Macaca fascicularis: one gene and its partners. The protein of the gene in region 1 interacts with the protein of each later gene in a pairwise test. Links are inferred from orthologs where the notes say so. Each region holds a gene or a part of one and is shown in the gene's direction. Other genes may lie near its edges. The genes, in order: KASH5, SLC41A2, TMEM11, NRIP3 and GALNT2.

Region 1 (4,246 bases):
CCTGCTTCAGCCTCCTGAGTAGCTGGGATTACAGTCTTGCGCTACCATGCCTGGCTAATTTTTGTGTTTTTGTATTTTTAGTAGAGACGGGGTTTCACCATGTTGGCCAGACTTGTCTGGAACTCCTGACCTCGTGATCCACCCGCCTCAGCCTCCCAAAGTGCTGGGATTACAGGCGTGAGCCACCGTGCCTGGCCTCGCTCCATTTTTATAGATGGGGGAGCCACACTCAGAGAAATTAAAGCTGAGGTCCCAACAGAATGGTGGGAGGAATTAAATGGGTTAAAACATGAAGTGCTTAGCATGAGGCCTGATGCATATCAGTCAAGTGTTTAGCAAATGTCTGCTGTTAATTTTAACATCACCATTTGCTGAAGTGAATGTGACCCGCCATTCCTTCTTCTAGAATGGGAAACTGCTGGCGGAGCGGGATGGAGTGAAGAAGAGAAGTCAGGAACTGGCCATGGAGAAGGACACTTTGAAGGTGCCACTCCTTCCTAGTGCCTGACAACTTTCCACCACCCTGGGGCCATTTTTCCCATTTCCGGTTTTAGTGACTGCAGCCTGATGAGAGCAGGGTCTTCCATCAAACTGTCAGACTCCCAGGACCACCCAGGCATCCCTAAAATCCCTGAAGTCCCGGAACATCTCAGGAGGTTGAATCGGCGGGGTGCGGGAGAGCAGGGCAGGCCAGACGGAGGGCAGGACCGAGGGGAGTCCTGGGAGGTTGGATGGATGGACCGGCTCCTTTCTTGGCAGCGGCAGCTCTTTGAGTGTGAACACCTCATTTGCCAACGAGACACCATCCTCTCTGAGGTGAGGAGCCCGGGGAGGGAAAGAGATTTGCCTTCCGTGTGCGCCAGCCACTTCCTGCCCCTGGTCTAGAAAGGGAAGTCCTACTTGGGTCTGGTCCTTGGATGTGCAGGCGGAGAGATTGGAGGGATTCCCCAGGTCCCAATGTGACCCCTCAGGGATCTAGAAGCCCTTCTGCCCGGTGCTCTCCCTTGGGCCCCAGCTCTTCTCTCAAGCTCACCCTTGTCCCTTAACCCCCCCAGCCAGTCCCCCCACCACCACCCCCCACTATGTCTTTGGGGAACTGGTCCCAGTCTCATTTGGCTTTCGGCTTTCCCAGCGCACTCGCCATGTGGAGAGCCTGGCCCAGACCTTGCAAGAATACAGAGTGACGACGCAGGTAACTCAGCGGCCCTGGCCACTTCTCTTTTGCCATCTCTGGGACTTGCTGCCTCTCCTCCTCATCGCTCTTTCTCTGTCGGTGGCCACATCTTGCTTCTTCTATCCATAATGTATGACTGTATGACTTACTGTGTGTCTCACCCTCTGTTTCTCTATCTGCCTTTTCACTTTTTTTCTGTTCCTTCCATTCACTTTCATTCTCTGTGGGTGTCTTCTCACATACCCCTCCTTATCTTTTTTTTTTTTTTTTTTTTTTGAGACAGAGTCTCGCTCTGTCACCAGGCTGGAGTGCAGTGACGCAATCTCGGCTCACTGCAACCTCTGCCTCCCAGGTTCAAGCGATTCTCCTGTCTCAGCCTCCCAGATAGCTGGGACTACAGGCGCACGCCATCATGCCCAGCTGATTTTTGTATTTTTAGTAGAGACGGGGTTTCACCATGTTGGCCAGGATGGTCTCGATCTCTTGGCCTCATGATCCGCCCACCTCGGCCTCCCAAAGTGCTGGGATTACAGGCGTGAGCCACCGCGCCCAGCCTCCCCTCCTCATCTTTATGTGTCTCTGCCAGGCTCGTGTGGGTTCCTGTCTCTGCCTCTAGGTCTAGGCTGTCTGTCTCCCTAGGCAAGTCTTCTCTGTTTGGCTCTGGTCTTTACCAGTCTCTTAGCCCTGGTGTTTCCCTTGCCTGTCTGTGAGTCTGTTTCCATTTATGTCTTTCATTTTTTCATGCATCACTGCCTCTGCCTTCCTTCTCTTAATTTTCTTGGCTGTGCTTTTTGTTTTGTTTTGTTTTGTTTTGTTTTTCTTTTTTGAGACGGAGTCTGGTTGTGTCGCCCAGGCTGGAGTGCAGTGGCACAATCTTGGCTCACTGCAAGCTCCTCCTCCTGGGTTCAAGCGATTCTTCTGCCTCAGCCTCCCAAGTAGCTGGAACTACAAGTGCGTGCCACCATGCCTGGCTAATTTTTTGTATTTTTAGTAGAGACGGGGTTTCACCCTGTCAGCCAGGATGGTCTCGATCTCCTGACCTCGTGATCTGCCCTCCTGAAGTGCTGGGATTACCGGCATGAGCCACAGCTCCCGGCCTCTTGGCCTGTGCTTTAGCTTCTGGATTCCTGTTGCTCTCTGTCTCTCTTTGGCTTCCTAACATTCTGTCATGGCTTTCTGCCCTTTGTCCCCAGGCAGTGTGTGTCTGGGGAGGCCAAAGTAGTCAGGAAAGTGGAAAGAACCCTGGAAGAGGAGCCCAGGGATGGGAAAAATGGAGAGCCAGATGTGCCCCCCACTTCCTCCTTTGCAGGAACTGAGGCTGGAGATTTCACGCCTGGAGGAGCAGCTGAGTCAGACCTATGAGGGGCCCGATGAGTGAGTGGAACTTCATAGGGTAGGAGGAGGCAGGAGGGGAGCCTAAGAGCAGAGACACCCTGGTCTCCAGCCCCAAGGTGGGCAGGGAAGGGAGGCCAGCATGAGCCGACTGAGTGGCCCCCAGGCACAAAGGCCGCCTTCCTCCCTCCTCCCTGTGTGGCCAGGCTACCTGAAGGGGCCCAGCTGAGAAGAGTGGGCTGGACCCGGCTGCTGCCCCCATCGCTGGGCTTGGAGATCGAGGCCATTCGACAGGTGGGCCTAACACCCCTGGAATAAGCTGCAGGCCACCAAGGCAGGATCTCCAAACATCTCCCCACTCTGATCCTCACACCAGCCTAGCCCTAACCCACATTGCTGCCAGAGGCTCCCATCACAACCTTAGCTTTTCTCTAACTCTATCTCGGATCCTAACCCCAAACCCACTGCCAGCCCCAGGCCTATGCCAGACCCCAGTCCGATCCAGCTGTGACTCACCCCTATCTCGTCTCCCTCCATGACCATCTCACTCCTTAACTTCATCTCGAACCCAGACCTCGGTCCTGGCAGCAAACCCTCCCCTGTTCCTGCTTCTGCCCACTCCCCACACCAGCCCCACACCAGCTCTTTTCTACCTCTCATCCTATTTTCAGCCACACACCTAAACCCGTTTCTGTCTCTGACCTTGTCTTCTACCTTAACATGGCTCTCCCTGACCTCGGAAACACCTTCTGTCCCAGAAACAGGAAGTGGCAATTGCTGGTCTCTCCAACCCTCTGTGTGGGGTGTGGCAGTGGGAGGAAGTCATCCATGATACCAGTGAGGATGCTGAGTTTCCGTCTGAAGCCCCAGCTGGGGGACAGGTGAGCACAGGAAAAGCTCTGAAGTCCAGGAGCTGGAAAGGGGCCCGGAGCGCCAGGTGCCGCCCTGGCCAGCCATTCACTCACACCTTTGCTTGTTCCCCATTTGATGAGAAAATGTTAATTGAGAGCACACTGTGTGCTGGACACCCAGCCACAAGCCAGACCAGACACCACCCCTGCCCCAGGGACTGACCTGCCAGCGTTGGAGACAAAGGTGAACAAAGCAAACACACAAATTGCACTGTGGCTTTTCGTGTCGTTTTGTTGTTTTAGAAAACACGCTCAGGAATTGCGTGATTTAAAATTGTACTACCGTAGGAAGGGAATAAGCAAGTTGTTTATGCTAACATTTTAAGGATATATTAAGCATTTATGTTTCAAATATAAGTACCTTTAAGAAAAACCAGCAAGCTCACTATGACATCTTTTTTTTTTTTTTCTTTTTCTTTTTTTTGAGGCGGAGTCTCGCTCTGTCGCCCAGGCTGGAGTGCAGTGGCCGGATCTCAGCTCACTGCAAGCTCCGCCTCCCGGGTTCCGGCCATTCTCCTGCCTCAGCCTCCCGAGTAGCTGGGACTACAGGCGCCCGCCACCTCGCCCAGCTAGTTTTTTTTGTATTTTTTTAGTAGAGACGGGGTTTCACCGGGTTAGCCAGGATGGTCTCGATCTCCTGACCTCGTGATCCGCCCGTCTCGGCCTCCCAAAGTGCTTGGGATTACAGGCTTGAGCCACTGCGCCCGGCTACTATGACATCTTTAACTCAGCAATAACCATTGGGTTTTTTTGTTTGTTTTTTGTTTTTAGAGACAGGATCTTGTCTTATTCTGTTGCCCAGAGTGGAGTGAACTTGACTCACTACAGC
Region 2 (4,916 bases), on another chromosome or scaffold:
CCAAGAGAGGCTGGCTTCTGTATATGCTTTGTGTAGAAATCTTGAAAGACTACACACTCAGGGGAGGAACACTTACCGGGTGGAACTTCTGCCAGACTTTCAAGAGCAGCTACTTTCTAATGATCTGTAATTCAAAAAACAACCAGAACAAAAACCAGTTGGAAATGCAGTCAAAACATTGCTTTTCCATATTCCTTGCAATTATACTTTCATTTTTAGGTAGTGAGGAACACCAGGATGAACCATTATAAAAAGCATGACTGCAGATGGCCAAGAGTGATACAGACGCACCCTTCACCCTGAAGGTGAAGGTTAAAGCTCAGAGTCTGATTGCAAAGGATAAGGGGGGAAAAAAAACAACAACAAAAAACAAAAAACAAAACCTGGATAAATGTATGCCGGTGTCCTTCAGCACCAGAAAAAGCTGCTACTAAATCACTGGTGTGGGTTGGAATTGGTAGAGGCTTTGATTTGAGGAAAAGAGTATCATTAGCTGTGTCATTTTGAGTTGTTTTAGAGACAAGGTCTCACTCTGTGTCCCAGACTGGAGTGCACTGATGCGATCACAGCCCCCTGCAGCCTTGAACTCCTGGGCTCAAGCGATCCTCCTACCTCAGTCTCCTAGCTACTTCGGGTCTCTCTGTGTTTACTCAGGCTGGTCTCAAAATTCCTGGCCTCAAGCGATCATCTCGCCTGGTCCTCCCAAAGTGTTGAAGTTACAGGCATGAGCCACCAATCAATCCTAGCAATAGCTGTGTAATTTGTAAAGTAACAGGCTTCGTACCAACACCTTGCTTTTGTTCACTGTAGTATCCCTGGGGTGTGTCTCATTCCCTGAATCATACACAGTAGATGCTCAATAAATAGTTTTGTAAATAAAATAAATGAGCTCTTGGATTTACCTGCAGACTTTGGATCAGTTTGATCTAGGTTTAAAAGCAAGTGTGGGGAAACTTGAAAAGCCTGGCACCCCAGCCAACTCCTCAGCGCCCCGTGTGCTTGGCGCCTACACCTGCCTGGCACGGGGAGGGTGCTACGGGGCTGCCCTAAACCTCACCCCTTCGGCGGTGGTCCCTGCCCTTCTCGGCTCCTGCACTGCCCACACTATGCGCTGCCGGGCCGAAAGACACGTGCTTCGGTTTTAACCCCTGTCTGCAAGAAATGTGACCTCAGCCAAAAACAGGCCGCTGGTCTGAGAAGAGAAATCATGAGTCATGGATTCGGGGGTTCGGACCTTGGAGCAGGCGGTGAAGTGGGCGTGCGTGGGCTGGTGGGGAAGAGGGCTGCGGAAGGACGCCACAGCCCTTCTCTCCTGGGCAGGATCCCCAGAAAACTGCCCCCTCGCCGTCGTCCAGCGCCCCCGTTCCCGACAGCTGTCTGCCAGGGCGCGGCCGGGGTCCGGGCGGGGCGGCGCTGTCGCTCCAGATCGCCGCCCCGCGGGCCACATCACCAAGGCCCGGGCTTCCCCGGCGGCGGCGCGGCTGCGCTTGCGCGGGACTGCCGCGCGGGGGCGGGGCGGCAGGGAGTCAGGGGGCCGCGGGCGCCGGCGGCCGGGCTGTCAGCTCTGAGACGCCGCGGAGCGAGGAGGCGCGGGAGCAGGAAGGAGCCGTGGGCTGGGAGCCGCTGTCCTCCCCGCCACCACCGGTGCTGGGGACTAGGTGAATGCCCCTTCCATCCCCCGCCCCGGGTGTCTCGGTCCGGTCTGAGGAGACGGGGACCCTTCTCCTCACACCGGCCGCTGCCGCCGCCGCGCTCCGGCACAGGTGACGGTGGAGGGGAAGTCTCGGCTTCAGCCGCTGCACCGCGTTCGGGCGCATCCCAGGTGCAGGAGGGAGGTGGGGCCGAGAGGCCTGGGCTCGGGACCCGGCGGCGGGGGCGCGGGGAGCGGTGGGAGCGGTCCCGCCCGAGTCGCCGTGCCCCCTGCGGACGCCTCCCGGGGCCGCCGGGTAGCGCCCGAGCCCAGGCCCCCGCGCCTGCCCCACATCGGGCGATGGGAAGCTGCTCCGCGGCCGCCGCGGATGAGCGGTCTCGGGCGCCCAAGGCAGGGGCAGGCGGCGGGTGGTTGACTGAGTGATGGCTGAAGGTGAGCTGGGATGGAGATGCTGCGAGGCTGGCTCGGGCACACCCCATATGCCTGTTCAGGGCTCCGCGAGGGCCCCGTCACCCTGTTCTTTCATTCTTCTCTTTATATATATGGAGGATATCTCAATTTTAAAAGCCCAAATGCTCATTTATAGAGAGAGATGACACGTATGTATGTGCTACCTATATACATTGATATGTATATTACGTATATATGTCATCTTTTTTTGTAGTGGACAATTTTTAAATTGAGATATACATCACATGCCATAAAACTCATTCTTCTAAAGTGTGGCTTTTAATATATTCACAAAGTTTTCCAAATATGACCACTATCCAGATCATCATCCCCAAAAGAAACCCTGTCTCTCTTAGTAGTCACTCCTCATTTCCCCTTGACCCCACCCCACTAGCCACCACTAATCTACTTGCTGTTTCTGTGGGTTTGCCTGTTGTGGAAATCTCATATAAATGGAAGCGTACAATATGTGGCTTTTTGGTCTGGCGTCTTTCACATACCGTAATGTGTTCAAGTTTCACTCATGTTGTAGTATGTATCAGTACTTTACTTTTTATAGCATATTAATATTGTTGTATCAGTGTACCACATTTGTTTATTCATCAGTTGATGAACATTTGGGTTGTTTCCAGTTTTTGGCCATTGTGTGTAATGCTGCTATGCACATTTGTGTACAGGTTTTTGTGGACATGTGTTTTCAGTGCTCTTGGGTATATATACCTAGGAGGGCAATTGCTCTGTGTTTAACTTTTTGAGGAACTGCCAAGCAAAGCAGCTGTACCATTTTACATTCCCACCAAGCAGTGTATGAGGGTTCCAATTTCTTCACATCTTCCCCAAGGCTTGTTACTTTTTACTGGTTATTTTTTATTATAGCCATCTTAGTGAGTGTGGAATGGTATCTCTTTGTGGTTTTGATTTGCATTTGTCTAATGAATGGAGATGCTGAGCATCTTTTCATGTGCTTATTGGCCATTCATATATTTTCTTTGGAGAAAATGTCTGTTCATATCTTTTACCCATATTTTAATTGGGTTGCTTGGCTTTTTCTTTTTCTTTACTTATTTACTTATTTATTTATTTATTTATTTTGGAGACTGACTCTCAGTCTGTCACCCAGGCTGGAGTGCAGTGGTGCAATCTTGGCTCACTGCAACCTCCACCTCCGGGGTTCAAGCGATTCTCCTACCTCAGCCTCCCGAGTAGCTGGGACTACAGGCATGCACCACTTTGCCTGGCTAATTTTTGTATTTTTAGTAGAGACATGGTTTCACCATGTTGGCCAGGTTGGTCTCCAACTCCTGAATTCAAGTGATCTGCCCACCTCGGCTTCCCAAAGTGCCGGGATTACAGGCATAAGCCACCGCGGTCAGTCTGGGTTGCTTGGCTTTGTATTGAGTTTTATTGTTCCTTTTTTTTTTTTTTTTTTTTTTTTTTTGAGACGGAGTCTTGCTCTGTCACCCAGGCTGGAGTGCAGTGGCCGGATCTCAGCTCACTGCAAGCTCCGCCTCCCGGGTTCACGCCATTCTCCAGCCTCAGCCTCCCGAGTAGCTGGGACTACAGGCGCCCGCCGCCTCGCCCGGCTAGTTTTTGTATTTCTTAATAGAGACGGGGTTTCACCGTGTTAGCCAGGATGGTCTCGATCTCCTGACCTCGTGATCCGCCCGTCTCGGCCTCCCAAAGTGCTGGGATTACAGGCTTGAGCCACCGCGCCCGGCCCTATTCTTCCTTTATGGAAAAAAATTCTATTAATAGGTTTGGATACTGGCACTGACTTGAAAAAACTCCAGCCAATCTGATACTGAAAAACTTAATGCTTACTATTGGGTAAAGGTTGAATAAGTGCCACTTCAGTCTGTAAGAATACCCTATGTGTTCATTCTTGGACATCTTACTGCCCCTTTACATTTACTGCCCTGGTGTTTTGAGCAAGGCTACAGAAGGCATATTCCTGACTGGAGTCAAGAGAGACCACCCTTAATTGGTACTTTCATATATTCTATGCTCAATTTGAAAATCCCTGTTATCACGTTAATTGCAAGTAATTTATATTGGTGGCCAGCTGAACAAACTAACAATAAATGGCAAGAACAAATTACTCAAATTTTTATATGTTTAACTTCTCAGTAAAGTGGAGAATCTTGTTTTCTTAAGTTTGTGCAGTGTAGTTTTTATTACAATTATGTTCACGTGTGGGTGGTAAATAACTATTTTTGATGGCACAAAGGTTAAGAGCCACTTACAGCTAAATGAATGCTGCTGTGCTTATTTCATGGTTAATTTCTGAGTGCACACAAATTCACCATCAGGTCTTTCATAGCAAAAAACACCTAAAAAGTCCTGATGTTACCTCCCAGGAATTCAAACTCAATTTTCCACTGATCTAATATGATTGTTGATAAAGAAAAAAGTTATCCAATGATACTTGTTAAAGCATGGTAAAGAAGTCTATTCAGGACGACTGTGATAGGTGAAGGGACCATGGAATGAGATTTTGCAGTGTGGGAGGAAGACTAGGCTCAATTCTGAATATGGCATGGGCAAATGGGAATTTATAGCCAAGGAGCAGTGTTATGGTCAGTGGACAGAAAAGTACTGAGAGGAAACATCGGGGGTAATGGATATTCAGACCAAACCAACCTAACAGGATTCTTGCTGAAGACAGGCCAGGTGATCAGACACCACCTGGGGGACAGTGGAAGATGAGGAACCTAATCAGATTGTGAGGTTAATCAGGCAGCAAGGGTAATCAGAAAGCCAGGGCCGGCTGGGTGCAGTGGTTCATGCTTTTAATCCCAGCACTTTGGGAGGCCGA
Region 3 (4,246 bases), on another chromosome or scaffold:
ACCGAGGGCTTTAGAAGGCAACCCCTCCTTTCCCCACAGAAGCTGCTCGTGCAGTCTTACAGTAACAGCTCATCAGTTCACCCCTGGCAAGGCAGCCACGACACTGGCACACAGTCACAGGCGGCTTGGCAGCAACCCAAGTTTAGGAGGCTCTTGTCCCACCCGCAGCGAACTGATTTCTCCCCAGTGCATGCAGTTTAATGAGGGCCTATGATTGAATTAGGAGGCTTTGCCTTAGCCCAGCTTCGTTACAGTGACTTTTGCAGGATAAAGAGTTCCCTTTGCCCAGGTCCAAGCCAGTGCCTTTTATGAAAGTGGTTCCCACCCAGGGGGTAGGGCCCCCATGTTTGGGGGCACAGTCAGCCCATTACTAATGACTTTCATCTTGAATGTGGCCACATAAGATCGTTCACCAGTTGTTCATCCAGCCAGCATGAAACCCAGCCTGTTAGGTTTGCTTCTTTGTTTGCTGAAAGCTTTGAGCTGAGAGGAGTCTCAGTTGTAGGGAGGACCGTGATTGCCTGTTCTTTTTCCTTGAAGTTTACCCTGACAGTCGGATTTCCACCATCCTTCACTTGGAACTGCTCCCATCTTTGAAGGAGGCTGGAGGGAGTTACCTTCATGCTGGGCTGAGGGTGGCTTGTTATGAGTCTTCACTCGTCGCTCCCATGTTATGGCCGATGGCCAGGTGGCTCAGCTCCCCATGACTTTCCTCTGCACGGCAGCCAGGTGTGCGTGCCAGGACAGGCCGGGCGGACGGGACCTTCGCGTCTGTGCACACTGAGGGCTGTGCTTCTCGTTGGCCCCTAAAGGAAGCTAGTTCCTGTCAGAGCCTCAGGTAGATGGGCCACGCTGACCCTTGTGTGGCCTAGTACACTGTGCCAGAGCGTCCCAGTGGGAGGGGCATGGACTCCGGCAGGGGAGCAGTGACCAGCAGGTCCCTAGAGCCTCGTGTCCTTTAGTCAGATGAGTTTGACCGTCCTGGGGACCGGGGTGTGCTGAGGGAAGGGGCAGCTTTGCACTGAGGAGCATGGCTCTGCCCAGCCGGAGGAGCCATGAGTTGGAAAACTTGATCCAGCCTCAAGAGCTGTGTCTAGCAGTGTCCCTGTCAGGGCTCAGATCAAGACTTCTCGCGGATGAGCAGATAATGGAAAAGCAGGATGCAGAGTGGCGTTGCGGAGATGCAGAAAGATCTGTCTCAGCTGGCCGGGCGCGGTGGCTCAAGCCTGTAATCCCAGCACTTTGGGAGGCCGAGGCGGGCGGATCACGAGGTCAGGAGATCGAGCCCATCCTGGCTAACACGGTGAAACCCCGTCTCTACTAAAAAAATACAAAAAATCTAGCCGGGCGAGGTGGCAGGTGCCTGTAGTCCCAGCTACCCAGGAGGCTGAGGCAGGAGAATGGCGTAAACCCGGGAGGCGGAGCTTGCAGTGAGCCGAGATCCGGCCACCACACTCCAGCCTGGGCGACAGAGCGAGACTCCGTCTCAAAAAAAAAAAAAGATCTGTCTCAGCTGAAACCAGCCAAGGAAAAATGACAAGGCGTGGGTAGCCCTGTATTCAGGCCTGCCCGCCACAGGTGAAGAAGATTCTGCTTTGGGTGGGAAATTTGGACCGCAAGGCCTGAAACCAAGAAAAGCCAGAATGCCTAAAATGCAGCTTGGCCCACATGTCACTGCTGGAGCTGCCGCCAGGCTGCTGTCTGGCCTTGCTGCAGAGCTGCGCCTTCCATGTGGTGGATCTGCTGCTGCTTGGGGTCATGGCATGCACCCCAGTCCCAGGGGGAAAGCCCCTTGTGTGGTCTCTGTGGCTGTGTTTCTGATGCAAATGAGTGGCATTTGCCGGTGGGGCAGGGGCCTGGGCCTGCAGGGCCGGAATCGGTGGCATTGCTGGCTGGATGTTTTGAAGCCCCTCAGTTGACCCTCCTGCCCGCTACGTTTGGGGGCCGCTACTGTCCTTGAAGTGTCGTCTTTTCCTAAGTCAGGGAAAGGGTCGCTTTTCCTATGCAGTGGGCTAGTGTCCTGGGTCTCCTGTTCTCCCCTCCGCGGTGGGGAGGAGCAGGAGGCTGCTGCCATCCGGGAAGGGCACCCAGGGCTCGTGCAGCCCGGCCTCCCAGGAGAGCCAAAGGAGTTTGGATTTTGCCCAAGGCAGAGCTCTTCCATTGTGCCTCTGTTCTGTGGGCCCAGGATGACTACTTAGGAACCATGTGGAGGGCAAGGGCTTAGCATGATCTGTCCTGAGGCCTGTGGTTTGCAGTGAGAATCCTCCTGCAGTTGCCCTGATTAAGAGCGGCTCTCAGGCTGTTGGCCTCGTGCTGCCGTGTGCGCCCATGTGACTGTGCGAATCCTTCTTTCCCCTTTAGGCTCCTTTGCTGACTCAGATCAGTTGGTCCACAGCCTTAGGCTAACCACCAGGCCTGCGTTTGTTCTTGTAAACATCGAGGTACTCCTTTTCCTGCCTTTTTATATCTAAATTTTTTTTTTTTTTTGAGACAGAGTCTCGTCCTGTCACCCAGGCTGCAGTGCAATGGCACGATCTCGGCTCACTGCAACCTCTGCCTCCCAGGTTCAAATGATTCTCCTGCCTCAGCCTCCCGAGTAGATAACGGGGATTATAGGCATGCGCCACCACACCTGGCTAATTTTTTGTATCTTTAGTAGACATAGGGTTTCACCATATTGGCCAGGCTGGTCTTGAACTCCTGACCTCATGATTCACCCACCCCGGCCTCCCAAAGTGCTAGGATTACAGGTGTGAGCCACTGCGCCCAGGCTTATTTCACTATTTCAGGAAAAGTACTTTTTACTGATTGTCTTGTGTTGGGATCTGAAGGAGATAAGGACCTCAGGGAGATGTGCTCTCCGCAGTGCAGGCTCAGACCTCCCCCAGCATCGAAACACAGTTAAGTGCTGCTCAGCCTAATCATCCTCTCTCTCTCTCTCCCTCTCCCGCCCCCTCCGTCAAAAGGGTGAGCTTGTCGGCCACAGACTGCTACATTGTGCACGAGATCTACAATGGGGAGAATGCCCAAGACCAGTTTGAGTACGAGCTGGAGCAGGCCCTGGAAGCCCAGTACAAGTACATTGTGATTGAGCCCACGCGCATCGGCGACGAGACGGCCCGCTGGATCACCGTGGGCAACTGCCTGCACAAGACGGCCGTGCTGGCGGGCACCGCCTGCCTCTTCACCCCGTTGGCGCTGCCCTTAGATTATTCCCACTACATCTCCCTGCCCGCTGGTGTGCTGAGCCTGGCCTGCTGCACCCTCTATGGGATCTCCTGGCAGTTTGACCCTTGCTGCAAGTACCAAGTGGAGTACGACGCCTATAAACTGTCGCGCCTGCCTCTGCACACACTCACCTCCTCCACCCCAGTGGTGCTGGTCCGGAAGGACGACCTGCACAGAAAGAGACTGCACAACACGATAGCACTGGCCGCCCTGGCGTACTGTGTAAAGAAGATTTACGAACTCTATGCCGTATGATCTCCGTAGAACAGGGAGCGAAGCAAAAACCACCTGGCCCACAAGAGACAACAGAGTCTTCAGATCGCCACGGTCACGTTTCTCACTCTGTGAGGCAGCAGAGCCTGGGAAGGTGTTTGGCTTAATATTCGTTGTTTTTAAAAAAAATAACAGATCACGGGTGTACCCAGGGTTTTTCAGCTCATCACACTAAGATGTGGATTTCCATAACCCAAGAGGGGGGGGTCTGAGGCTGTGGAAGTCCGATCGGGCAGTGGAACGCTGATGGAGGCACACGCTGCTGAGGGGGTGCGGACGTGCTTTGGGGGAGGTCTTTAAGTCTATTGTTTAACTGTACCATCCAGAGCCCACCAGAAGCTATTGACCATTAAAATTATGAGAATTTCAACTCCCGCTGTTCTCTCTGTCCATGTCTGCCTGCAGCTGCTGCTGCACATCCGCTCTAGGTGGCGGCTTGTCCGTGGAAGCAGCGGGTGCTGTGGTAGCCACCCTGCCCCGTTCCTAGCCGCGGCCCAGTGTTACCAGTCACAGCGACGACAAGCCTAGATCCGAGGTAGTCCTGGGCCCAAATCCCGCGCAGGAGCAGTCTCCTGGCTCGCGTTGGCCTCATCATTCCGAAGGCCAGCACTGCTACCATGCTGTTCAGGAACATGGTAGGATAAGGCGATGAGGCCTGGAGGCCTTTGGGTCTTCACTTGGGTTCACGTGGGGAACTCTGGGCGCTAGGATCCCTCTTCGGAGATCTGAACACTGTTTTCTTTGA
Region 4 (4,709 bases), on another chromosome or scaffold:
GTGAAATGCCCAAGAGATACATAGTATATAATTAGAGAGACTTCACCCTCTCTGGAAGGTCAGAGAAGGCTTCCTAAAGAAATGATAATGGAGCTGAGGTCTGGAAGAAGCATAGGAGTTTCCTGAAGAAGGTAGGAGGGGACACTGCACACAGAGGGAGCAGGACAGTCAAAGGCAGGCCATTTGGCAACAGGTGACTGGAAGGAACTGGAAGAAGGGCTATGAGGCTGAAGCACAGAGTGGATATGCAGGGTCTAGGCAGACCATGCAAGAATGTGGGTTTCTCTTAGAGCAATAGGAAGCCTTTTGAGGTGCTCTTAGCAGGGAAGTGAGATGATCACGCTTATGGTTTGAGAAGATTACTCTGGCAGCACAGTGAACAACGGATTGGAATGGAACTAGGGAGCATTCAGGAGGCCAGACAGAAGGTATCAGGTATTTGCCTGTAAAATGGGGGTGATGAGAATATACAAGCTGTTGCCAGGATCCAATGAGATACTACATTTTAAGTGTCTATTCCAGTACCTGGCACATAGTAAAGGCCCAGTAAGCGTCGATATTGTTACTTTTATCATTGGTTCTTTGCTGAGTGCACATATTTCTCATCCAGGTCTGCTCCTGTGTGATGGGGTGGAGGGGGTTGTTGTGGTTTCCAGAATGGAAACGTGGTTTGTGCCAAATCACAACGTCGAGACCAGAATCCAGGATGCCTGAAACCTGATTAGAATGGCTTAAAAATATGTATTCAAGAAGAAAAACGGGTTCCAATCGCTCCTACTAAGGACGCTGGAGGGACGGTGAATGATTCTTTAGATGGTAAGTCCTAGTACTTGTTGAGAAAAACAGGTGCTTCTCTGGTCGGAGAGCAGATGTAGGGCTCGCAGCCGCGTGCGCTCCCGCGGAGGTGGGGGACCCTCGCCATTCCCCTGTTCTATGCCCGCCCGCGGGCTTCCGACCGCACCTGCTCCCCCGGCTCGGAAACGCAGGCCGGGTGCCCGGCTGCAGGCAGAGGGTGCCCGGGGGAGGAGGTCCCGAAAGGCTCCTACACACGCCTGCACCGGCTGCCCCCTCCCCAGTCACGTGGCCCGGTGGGTGGGGACCGACCTGAAGTTGGAAAAATCCCGACCGCTCCCAACTTCGGAGGGAGCCGCCAGTCCTCCGGGCCCGGGCGGTGGGCGCTGGAGCCCCGGCTGGCGGCGTGGAGGTGCGTTTCCGAGAAGCCGAGCAGCGGCGCGGGAGGCGGGACTCGAGGCATGGCCTGGCTGTCGGTTATCCCCGGGTCGGCCACGGCGTGGACAGGTGAGCTGGGACCCACGGCCAGCGGCGGAGATGGCCGGGGCTGCCAGGGCATCGGGCCCCAGAGCCCACACCCGTCCAAGGGATGCGGGGCTCCCACGCAGGAGGGGGCGGTTGGGTGAAGAGGCCGCTGTGGATTCTCGGCCCGCCGGGTCACTCCCACCAGCGCCGCCGCCTCCTCTCCCGCTTTGCCACCGGGTGAGCAGGGCACGCGGGACGCCAGGGAGCCTCGCGGGACGTGGACTCTGTGCCGGCCCCGCCCCCCGCGCGCGCACTGGCTGCTCCACGCGGCGTCACACTCGGCTATAAAAGGCGCGGCGCGGGGCCCTTGCGGCGCTGGAGGAGCTCGAGCTCGAGGCTGAGGCTGCTGGGGAGCCGCGGGCGACCGGGCCGCCGGCGTCTCAAGGATGTTTTACTCAGGGCTTCTCACTGAGGGCGGCCGCAAGGAGACCGACATGCGGGAGGCGGCGTCGCTGCGACAGCAGCGCCGGATGAAGCAGGCGGTGCAGTTCATCCACAAGGACTCCGCCGACCTGCTGCCCCTGGACGGCCTCAAGAAGCTGGGCTCGTCCAAGGACACGGTGAGCCCCCGCCGCCGTTCTTGCCCTGGCCCCGGCGGCTTCGCGCCCGCGGTCTTCCGAGGCCCGGCCGTTGCGGCTTTCACTGAGTCACCGCCCGGCCCGCCGCTGCCCTTGGCTCGCGGTCGCTGCGTCGCGGATTCCTCCCCTTCCAGCACCCCTGCTGCGGTTTTGGTGGGGATTCCGTCCTAGCTTTTCAGCTCGCGCTCCCCTCGGCTGTATCTCCTCCCTGGATGTCTCCTCTCCAGAGGAAGGAAGAGGTCCTGCCCTGCCCTCTTGCCCTCGGGTCTTCTTTCTCTCCCCTTATTCTTAATACCGAATTTTGTTCGTGGGGCTTGTGCCTCCTACGCTGTGTGGCTGGTTCTATGACCCAGACAGAGGTGATTCCTAATGACTTCGTGTGAGGGGGAAAGAAGTGGAAAGGGATTTTTTTTTGACAGTTGCCAGATCCAGAAGATTTTTGTTGAATCCATTGTCCCCCTATGCAAAATCCACTTCTCTAGTTTTGGTCCTATGTACCTTTGACCTTCCATCCTGAGTGGGGAGAGAGAAAAGGGGTCGAATGTGAAGGTTTCCTGAACCCCCAACATCTCTTCATCATTCTCCTCTTCCAGCCCCGCCCCCAAGGAGTGAGTAGAGGGAGGAAGCCAGGCTGCTCCATCTTACCGACCAGCTAATGTGTGCATTTGGGGCTGGGGTGGTTGCAGTCTTTTTTTCTAGCACGGTTTTTCTTGGCATTAAGTAGAAGCACCCCAGGACAGGAGCCCTGGGGTAAAAAATGGTACTGTCCTCTTTCTATAGAATGAAAGGGTGACCAATATAAAGAACTGTATCTGTCATCCCTCAGCCTCTGTAGTGGTCCTGGGTCAAGTTTATGTTTAACTTTGTAGTTTTATCTGGAATTTTCTTGTAGTTTGATTGTTTTCTTGAATTTCACAATCGCTTTGTTCATTTGGGTGGTAATGTATGAAATGCTAATTAAATGTCTTTTAACAAATGAAATAGGTGCTCTGCATAATTTTTCTAGTATTTTTTATTTTAAGCTTTTGAAATGTTTAATTCTGGATGTGGTTGTTAGCTCTAATTCATTGAAATTGCCATTTCTGGCCCCAGGAGGGCAGAGCTTCTGCATCCATTTCCTTTTTTTTTTTTTTTTTTAATTTAACAGCTCTAATGACACACAGGTACCAGTATAATTTTTCTCCTCCCTGCCATTAGTTGCTTCTTTGCAGGGTTTGTCTACTTCAGTTATCTTGCTCTGTTTTTTGAAAGTTGTGTTTTTTTGTTTTGCTTTGCTTTTTGCACAAGCTGCAGGATAGTTTCCCTGATTTATGCTAACCCAGAGTGATGAGTGATTGAAATGTGCTCCTGCAAAAGAGGTAACTCTCTTTTCCCTTCTTTTACTTTAAAGCAATCTTGATTCATTTAACAAATCAGGTTCGAGAAATATTCTTTCCTTCAGGCCAAATAATCCTATCCTAGTTCCTAGAATGCTCGTCAATCAATAAAGAAGGAAGTATTATATTAAGAGAAGAATTAAAATATGGAATTTTTAAATGCTGGATTTGGTTGTCCTTGGTTGTCAAGGAGTTTCCTAGCCCTGAGAGCTACCTTAGCTTCCTTCTGCCTAGGATTTCTTATACTACTTCATGCTGTGTAGGAATTCCATCCACTTTTCTGACTCCAGTCTGTCTCAGTTGAGTCACGAAGGGCTGATAGCATAGAGCACAGGCAGCAGGCTGCAAAGAGGAAGGAGCCTCAAGAAGCAGGATATTGCCTTGAGTATGACACATACACATGGCAGTTGACTGTGAGGCTCTGAATCATGGTTCATGCTTTCTGTGCCCCACCGTCATGGAGTTGATTTCCCACTCTCACTGTTTTCACACCTACAGTGTACAAGTGATTGCACAGAACAGCCAGATTACAGAAACCGAGGCAGACTGAGGTAGGGCTAGGAGAGCCGCAAGCACTGGGGTGAGGCAGCATGCTTAAACTCTTGGAACTGTTGTTGCAGCCTCAGTACAATCTTAGAAGTGACCTTAGAAGTACATTATTATTGTTTTACTTTATAAATACATCTGGGATAGACTAGTGTTGACTCAATTTTCTCTCACTGCAAGGGAAATTTGGAGGATGCGAAAATTAATTGAATAGTTCTTACTTGAAGTAGTTTATAGTATAATCTTGACAGAAGGGGTCCAAGAAAAGGGAGAGGATAGCATCAGAGGGAGATAAGAGAGAGGAAAACTTAGTTGTAATTGACTTTTGGGTTTGTGAAGGTTGTAGGTTGTTTTCCCTCAAACTAGTAACAAACATTTAAATTATACTGCTGGGATTTCTGAATTATCTACCTCTTACTATGCTGTTTCTGTAATGTTCACTGCTTGATCAGCCTGCCAGCCCTTTTAGGACTGGCAGAAGGCAACCATAGGAAATCAAAGGGGGTCATGTTGTCTTGGCCCCAGGAAAGTGCCTTTGCCTATTTCTGTGTATATGGAGTTGGCTGATACAAAGTCTTCTGTGGAAATTATATTTTTGTCTGGCCCTTTTGCATTTATCCTTTTATCTTATATTGTTCATTCTGTATTAGATTAAGAACTAAAACCAGAGATATGAGTGAGTAATATTATATTTGATTTTTTTTTTAAGAGACGGGTTCTCACTTTATTGCCCAGCTGGAATGCAGCTGCAGTCACATCTTACTGTAGCCTCGACCTCACAGGCTAAAGAGATCCTCCCATCTCAAACTCTTGAGTAGCTAGGATTACAGGTGCATACCACAACACTAGTCTAACTTTTGTATTTTTTGTAGAGATGGGATTTTGCCGTATT
Region 5 (4,998 bases), on another chromosome or scaffold:
TGTCTAGTTATGTCTTTAGTTTTTGAAGTTTCTTATTCTAGCTGTGTGTGTGTGTGTGTGTATGTGTATACAAATACATGACACTTCGTTCAGTTCGATATGTGCTGTTACAATTTTCTTATGCTTCATGGTTTTTATTGTGGGGGTTCTCATCAGCGAAAATGTTATGATTTTTTTTTATCATCAGAAATGTGATTATTTTTCTGTTTTCTTTTTGCAGAATCTTTATATGCAGTTGATTTGATGTTTTTCTGTTACTAGTCATTTTGAGGCAGGGTTCCCAGTTCAAGAGTGTTCTCTTTTATCTGTGTACTGAAATGCAGTTTTTAATAGATAATGTTGGTGTTTGGGGAGGGGACTGGCGGTTTTTTTTATTTCTGCAGGATTTGTAATTTTCCCTTCTCACTTCCTTCTTTCCCTTCATTGCCAGGCCTCTGAAGGACATTATCTTTTTTGTATTTATCTGACTTTTTCCCAGAAGCAAGGCTCCTTCAAGGCTCCCACCTCTTGTCCCATTTTCTTTCAAATCTCTTCCCTTGATCAACAAGGCACCTGACCTCTGTTCAGTTTTTAGTTCTTGGTGTTGGACTTTCTATTTATAAAGAGATGACAACCCTGCACTTCACTTAAGTCATTGGTAATAGTGGAGGGAGCTCAGTTGGAATTTGATGTCTTCTCTTTCTTCTACTTAAGTAATTTAATGTTCAGTTCATGGTATTCTCTCTAAGTAATGCTGAAGGCTTGTTTGTTTTTGTTTCGTTGAGGATATGGGTAGGGATATATTCAGGCAGCTGCCATTATCCTCTGAGAAGCTCCTGCAACATTTAACATATCAAGTTCTAAGTAAAATTTCTCTCTTCCTTAGGAAACACTGGAAACTGCGTGTTACAAGGGCATCACCAAGGTTAACAGATTCTGTTACAAGACAGATCGTTTTCTTGTATCATTAAAGATGCTTGGTGTGCTTTTTAAAGAAAGCAATGAATAAGAATGAAAAGATTTTAAACAATATCTTATTGCTTTCTTTCTTCTTCATTTCGCGTTTATTGAAAAGAACAACTCTACCATTGATAGCTCTGTCACCCACAGAAAAATGTTCTTTTGAAAATTACCTCCTCAGTTCCTACCTCAAAACCTCCACATCTGCCTAAATAGATAAATAAAACCGATACCAGCGGGTCAGGAATGTTTTGCTGCAAGATTAGTGAGAAAACTGCAGCAAGCAGCAGCAAAGTCGGGTTCAGGCGGGCGGTTTGCACCAAAAACTCAGGTCAGTTGACCAATAAGAGCAAGCCCGTTAAGGGTCTGAGGTGGCCCCAAAGACCAAGGCTGAAGAGGTGACAGTCTGGGGAGGAAGCGCCGGGGCCACTACCGCCCCCGTAACCGAGAGGCCCCGTGTGCGTGAGCAAGGCTCTGTGCCCACGTGTGCGCGCGCTCCAGACGGGTCCCGGGGCAGCCACCTGTCACTCACGGGGGAGGGGGCGGCCGGCGGGGGGAGCACGCTGAGGAGGCGGGCGGGCGGGCTGGAGGCCGGCCGGGGGCGGGGCGGCGCCCAGGCCCTCCCGACTGAGCCCGGCGTGCTGCAGCCATGGAGACGCGGCAGTCCCCTCCCGCGCCCCGCGCCCCGGCCCCCGCAGCCGCAGCCGATTGGTCGCCCTTTGCTCCCTGACCCCCCTCGCCGCCTCCGAGGCCGCCGCTTCCTGCTCGGGCGCCGCGCGGCGCCGCCGGCCCGGGGCGGAGCTCGGGCGCCGAGTGCGCGCCGCCGCCAAGCAGTAGCCCCGCGCGGGAGGAGGAGCCGCCGCCGCGCCCTTCCCCTTCCTCCGCTCCTCCCCCGGCCCCCACCGCGCCCGCGGCCGGCCCAGGCAGCACTCGCGAGCAGCGGCGGCCCGCCGGCGGCCGAGTTAGGAGAATGCGGCGGCGCTCGCGGATGCTGCTCTGCTTCGCCTTCCTGTGGGTGCTGGGCATCGCCTACTACATGTACTCGGGGGGCGGCTCCGCGCTGGCCGGGGGAGCTGGCGGCGGCGCCGGTAGGAAGGTGAGTGGAGCGCCCTGCCGCGCCCGGGCCCCTGCGCCCACCCCCACCCTGCGCCCCTGTCCCCTGCCCGCTCCGCGCCGCCCCTACGCTCCTCCGCCCAGACCTCCGCTCGAGCCGCCCGCCCCCGTCCCGGGCCTCCGCGCCAAGTGCCCAGGGCACGGGTGCACCCGGCCCCTCTGCGCACGCCGGGCTCGGAGAGGGCGGCCCCCGCAGCCTTTCTCACCCCTCCGCCCCCTCTCGTGGACGTCACCCCTCTCTCTGTTCGTCGTAATTCGAGTCTTGTCCGGCCGCCGGGAGCCCCATCCCCTGCCGTTGGAAGTTTAGGGATGGGGGTGTTGGGAAACACAAAGGGGGTGGGGAGGAGAGGAGAGAGAGGCGACCGCCTTTCCAACGCGTCATGTACAGCGGGAGAGAGGAGTCCAAGTTTCTTTTCAGCCCTTTGATACCAGCGGCTGAAAATCCTCGTCCCTTTCCCCCTGTCACTCCGCGGGGCGTGGGTTCCCTGTTTCTGCCACCTTCTTTGCCCTTTACCTTTTGAGGGGCAGGGGCGGCCACTCCCGTGCCAACTAAAGCCCCAGGGCCCGTGCGATCCGGGGGCTAGTGCGCCCCTGCGCCCCGAGCGAGGGCAGTCCCGGCCGTCCCCTTGCGGTCCCAGTGTTACCCTCTGCCCAACCGGGCACCCGGCCCTCCCTCGCGAGGAGCCGGACGTGGCCTCCTGCGCTTGCATTTTCCATCCCCACTCCCCGCTTCAGGGAGAATCCTTCTTCTATGGATGTGTTTCTAAGCTGCTCCGGGGGCCGAGTGATCCGGCTATGGGGACCGTGTGAGCCGCTCTGCGGTTCCGCGCCCTCGTCCCGCCGCTCCGGCTGGCCGGGCCCTTGGCATTCGGGAGGATGCTGAGCGCTGAGAGGAGCCGGGACGGTGCGGTCCTGCGGCCGGCCGGGAGAGCAGGGCGTCGGGCTGTGGGCTGGAGCATGCCGGCTGGGGACGTTTGTAGTGTTTTACTGGCTCCTTGGCTTTGAAAGCAGCGTTCTCTTTTCCGAATTCCTCCTCGTTACTGTGACATTTAGTGTCACCGCAAACCCAGGAAATTCTGAGTTAATGGAGATGGACAACGGGTGATTGGGTTGGAACAAGAGAGTGGTATGCTGAAACAAGCCAGAGGGAACTAACTAGATGAACAGACTTCAGTTCTGAAGTCAGACCCCTAAATGTCCACGCTGGGGTTTGGCTGCTTCAGAGGCTTTTTCTTTGCTTCATTCATTCATTCATAGCCGAAGATGTTAGGTGGAATGAGTGCCTTATTTGGTTTCTGGTAAATTACATGGATTTGTGAAATAAAGCCGTCTTTCCACGTGCTGAATCGGCCTAGCTTCTGAGCTGACACTGTACTGTTAGCGCTGTTTTTGTAAAAAAATGGTATAGGTAGTATATGTATGCGAAGACTTGGTTTATTCTTGAACAGCAAAGAACATGCAGCCATCAAAAGTCGTGCAGTCCATTCAAAGATATAATCGTGTCAAACTGGAATGATTTTTTAAAACTTTGTTTCCCAGTAAACTGTGCCTTGGCCACTCTGCATAGCCTGGTGTGCTGGTGAGACCTGGCAAAGCTTTCTGCCTTTCATGCAAAGAAAACCAAACACATTAAGCCACCCTTGGCGTTTCTCTTTCCTTAGTCTGCCACTTTCATTAGTACACGTGATTAGAAAGAGCAAACCTGCTTGTTCCCCTCCCGGAGGCTGATTCCTCACTCTGGTGGGCTTCAGTTGCTGGATGGTGTGAGGGGTCTTCCATGCAGAAGGCTTCCGACACTCCTGAAGTGTGTGATTCTTAGTTTTTCTTTCTTTTTTATTTTTTTAAAGAATTCCTGGTGGCAATATGGAAAGGTACGGAGACCAGGTAGAAAAAGTGGGGGAAATGAACAATTACACATAGATTGGTGATTTGGGATTCTATTCTTTCTGTCAACGAACCATAAAATTTAATCCTAGCCCTTAGAATGCTTTAGTGATTTGTCAGTTGAGGAAGAGGTGTGTAAATGCAATAGCTTTTGAAATTGCAGTGGAGGACTCATTAACTTTGTGTGGTGGACCCTGGGAAGATGGTTTCTGAAGGGGGTAAATAGAGCCCTGATCTATAGGGCTGACCTATAGGAATGCCTGATCCTATAGGAAATCGTGATCTATAGGAAAATGCCTGATCTATAGGAAAATCGTGTAGTCCTCTTTCCTCCCCAATTGTTTCCATGGATTTAGACACTAGAAGTGTCTCTAAATTTAGTTCATTCTCATACCAAAAAAAAAAAAAAAAAAAAAAGCACGTGGTTTGTTTGGCTTGTAAAGCATGGACATAAAAAAAGATAGCGGGCCATGCACAGAAAGGCAGAATTTAAAAGCTCGCTATAGTTTTTTAGAGATAAGCGGACCTATATTTTTCTCTTGCCTCATACTGTTCAAGTCAGGGCTCTCATTCCATATTTAGCCAATTTCTGCACATCCTAACGTTTTTCACAGGGTACAAGGCTGCAGTATGGGGCTTTGGGGATCGTTTGAGGGGAGTCCAACTAGGATTTCTGCTGCTTCAGCAGCCCAGCCCAGGCTTGTCATTGTGTGCCCTGCCTGTTAAGTAACTCATCACAGAACTGTTATTCTCCACTTGGCAAAACCCAGAGAGCCAGCTCACCTCAGATTGCAGGTTTAATAAACTAAGCAGGAGGGAGCGCTCAGAACCAATCTCAGGCACTGCCGCACAACTCAGGACTCAACACCCAGGTTGAGGACATGTCTGTTAAAGCAGTTTATGCAAAATATTGTTTAAAATTACATTTCATTTACATTTGTGTCCATACCCTTTCCCCCCATATTTTGCTCTTTCCTCCTAAATTGATGATTTGCACTTCAAGGGTTCCTTTCCTTTGAGCTTCTTAAATGCTTTAAAATTTTAAGCATGTTAAGTCTCCCC

The links.
Region 2: the proteins of KASH5 (region 1) and SLC41A2 interact in binary tests that used the Homo sapiens proteins (3 or more experiments, as listed by UniProt). The two-hybrid records come from large-scale screens. The link is inferred for Macaca fascicularis from reciprocal best matches to the Homo sapiens genes KASH5 and SLC41A2.
Region 3: the proteins of KASH5 (region 1) and TMEM11 interact in binary tests that used the Homo sapiens proteins (3 or more experiments, as listed by UniProt). The two-hybrid records come from large-scale screens. The link is inferred for Macaca fascicularis from reciprocal best matches to the Homo sapiens genes KASH5 and TMEM11.
Region 4: the proteins of KASH5 (region 1) and NRIP3 interact in binary tests that used the Homo sapiens proteins (3 or more experiments, as listed by UniProt). The two-hybrid records come from large-scale screens. The link is inferred for Macaca fascicularis from reciprocal best matches to the Homo sapiens genes KASH5 and NRIP3.
Region 5: the proteins of KASH5 (region 1) and GALNT2 interact in binary tests that used the Homo sapiens proteins (3 or more experiments, as listed by UniProt). The two-hybrid records come from large-scale screens. The link is inferred for Macaca fascicularis from reciprocal best matches to the Homo sapiens genes KASH5 and GALNT2.

Annotation. Positions count from the first base shown.
Region 1 is NC_088393.1:57,356,130-57,360,375, forward strand, and holds part of KASH5 (protein KASH5), read left to right. Parts: intron 1-406; coding exon 407-484; intron 485-496; exon of another isoform or gene 497-567; coding exon of another isoform or gene 568-759; coding exon 760-816; intron 817-1,132; coding exon 1,133-1,192; intron 1,193-2,483; coding exon 2,484-2,548; intron 2,549-2,712; coding exon 2,713-2,800; intron 2,801-3,264; coding exon 3,265-3,387; intron 3,388-4,246. UniProt on the Homo sapiens protein: As a component of the LINC (LInker of Nucleoskeleton and Cytoskeleton) complex, involved in the connection between the nuclear lamina and the cytoskeleton.
Region 2 is NC_088385.1:111,887,046-111,891,961, reverse strand, and holds the start of SLC41A2 (solute carrier family 41 member 2), read left to right. Parts: upstream 1-1,557; 5' UTR 1,558-1,658; intron 1,659-4,916. UniProt on the Homo sapiens protein: Acts as a plasma-membrane magnesium transporter. Can also mediate the transport of other divalent metal cations in an order of Ba(2+) > Ni(2+) > Co(2+) > Fe(2+) > Mn(2+).
Region 3 is NC_088390.1:20,622,319-20,626,564, reverse strand, and holds the end of TMEM11 (transmembrane protein 11, mitochondrial), read left to right. Parts: intron 1-2,966; coding exon 2,967-3,483; 3' UTR 3,484-3,871; downstream 3,872-4,246. UniProt on the Homo sapiens protein: Plays a role in mitochondrial morphogenesis.
Region 4 is NC_088388.1:56,829,134-56,833,842, forward strand, and holds the start of NRIP3 (nuclear receptor-interacting protein 3), read left to right. Parts: upstream 1-1,631; 5' UTR 1,632-1,703; coding exon 1,704-1,877; intron 1,878-4,709.
Region 5 is NC_088375.1:19,043,440-19,048,437, reverse strand, and holds the start of GALNT2 (polypeptide N-acetylgalactosaminyltransferase 2), read left to right. Parts: upstream 1-1,833; 5' UTR 1,834-1,909; coding exon 1,910-2,035; intron 2,036-4,998. UniProt on the Homo sapiens protein: Catalyzes the initial reaction in O-linked oligosaccharide biosynthesis, the transfer of an N-acetyl-D-galactosamine residue to a serine or threonine residue on the protein receptor.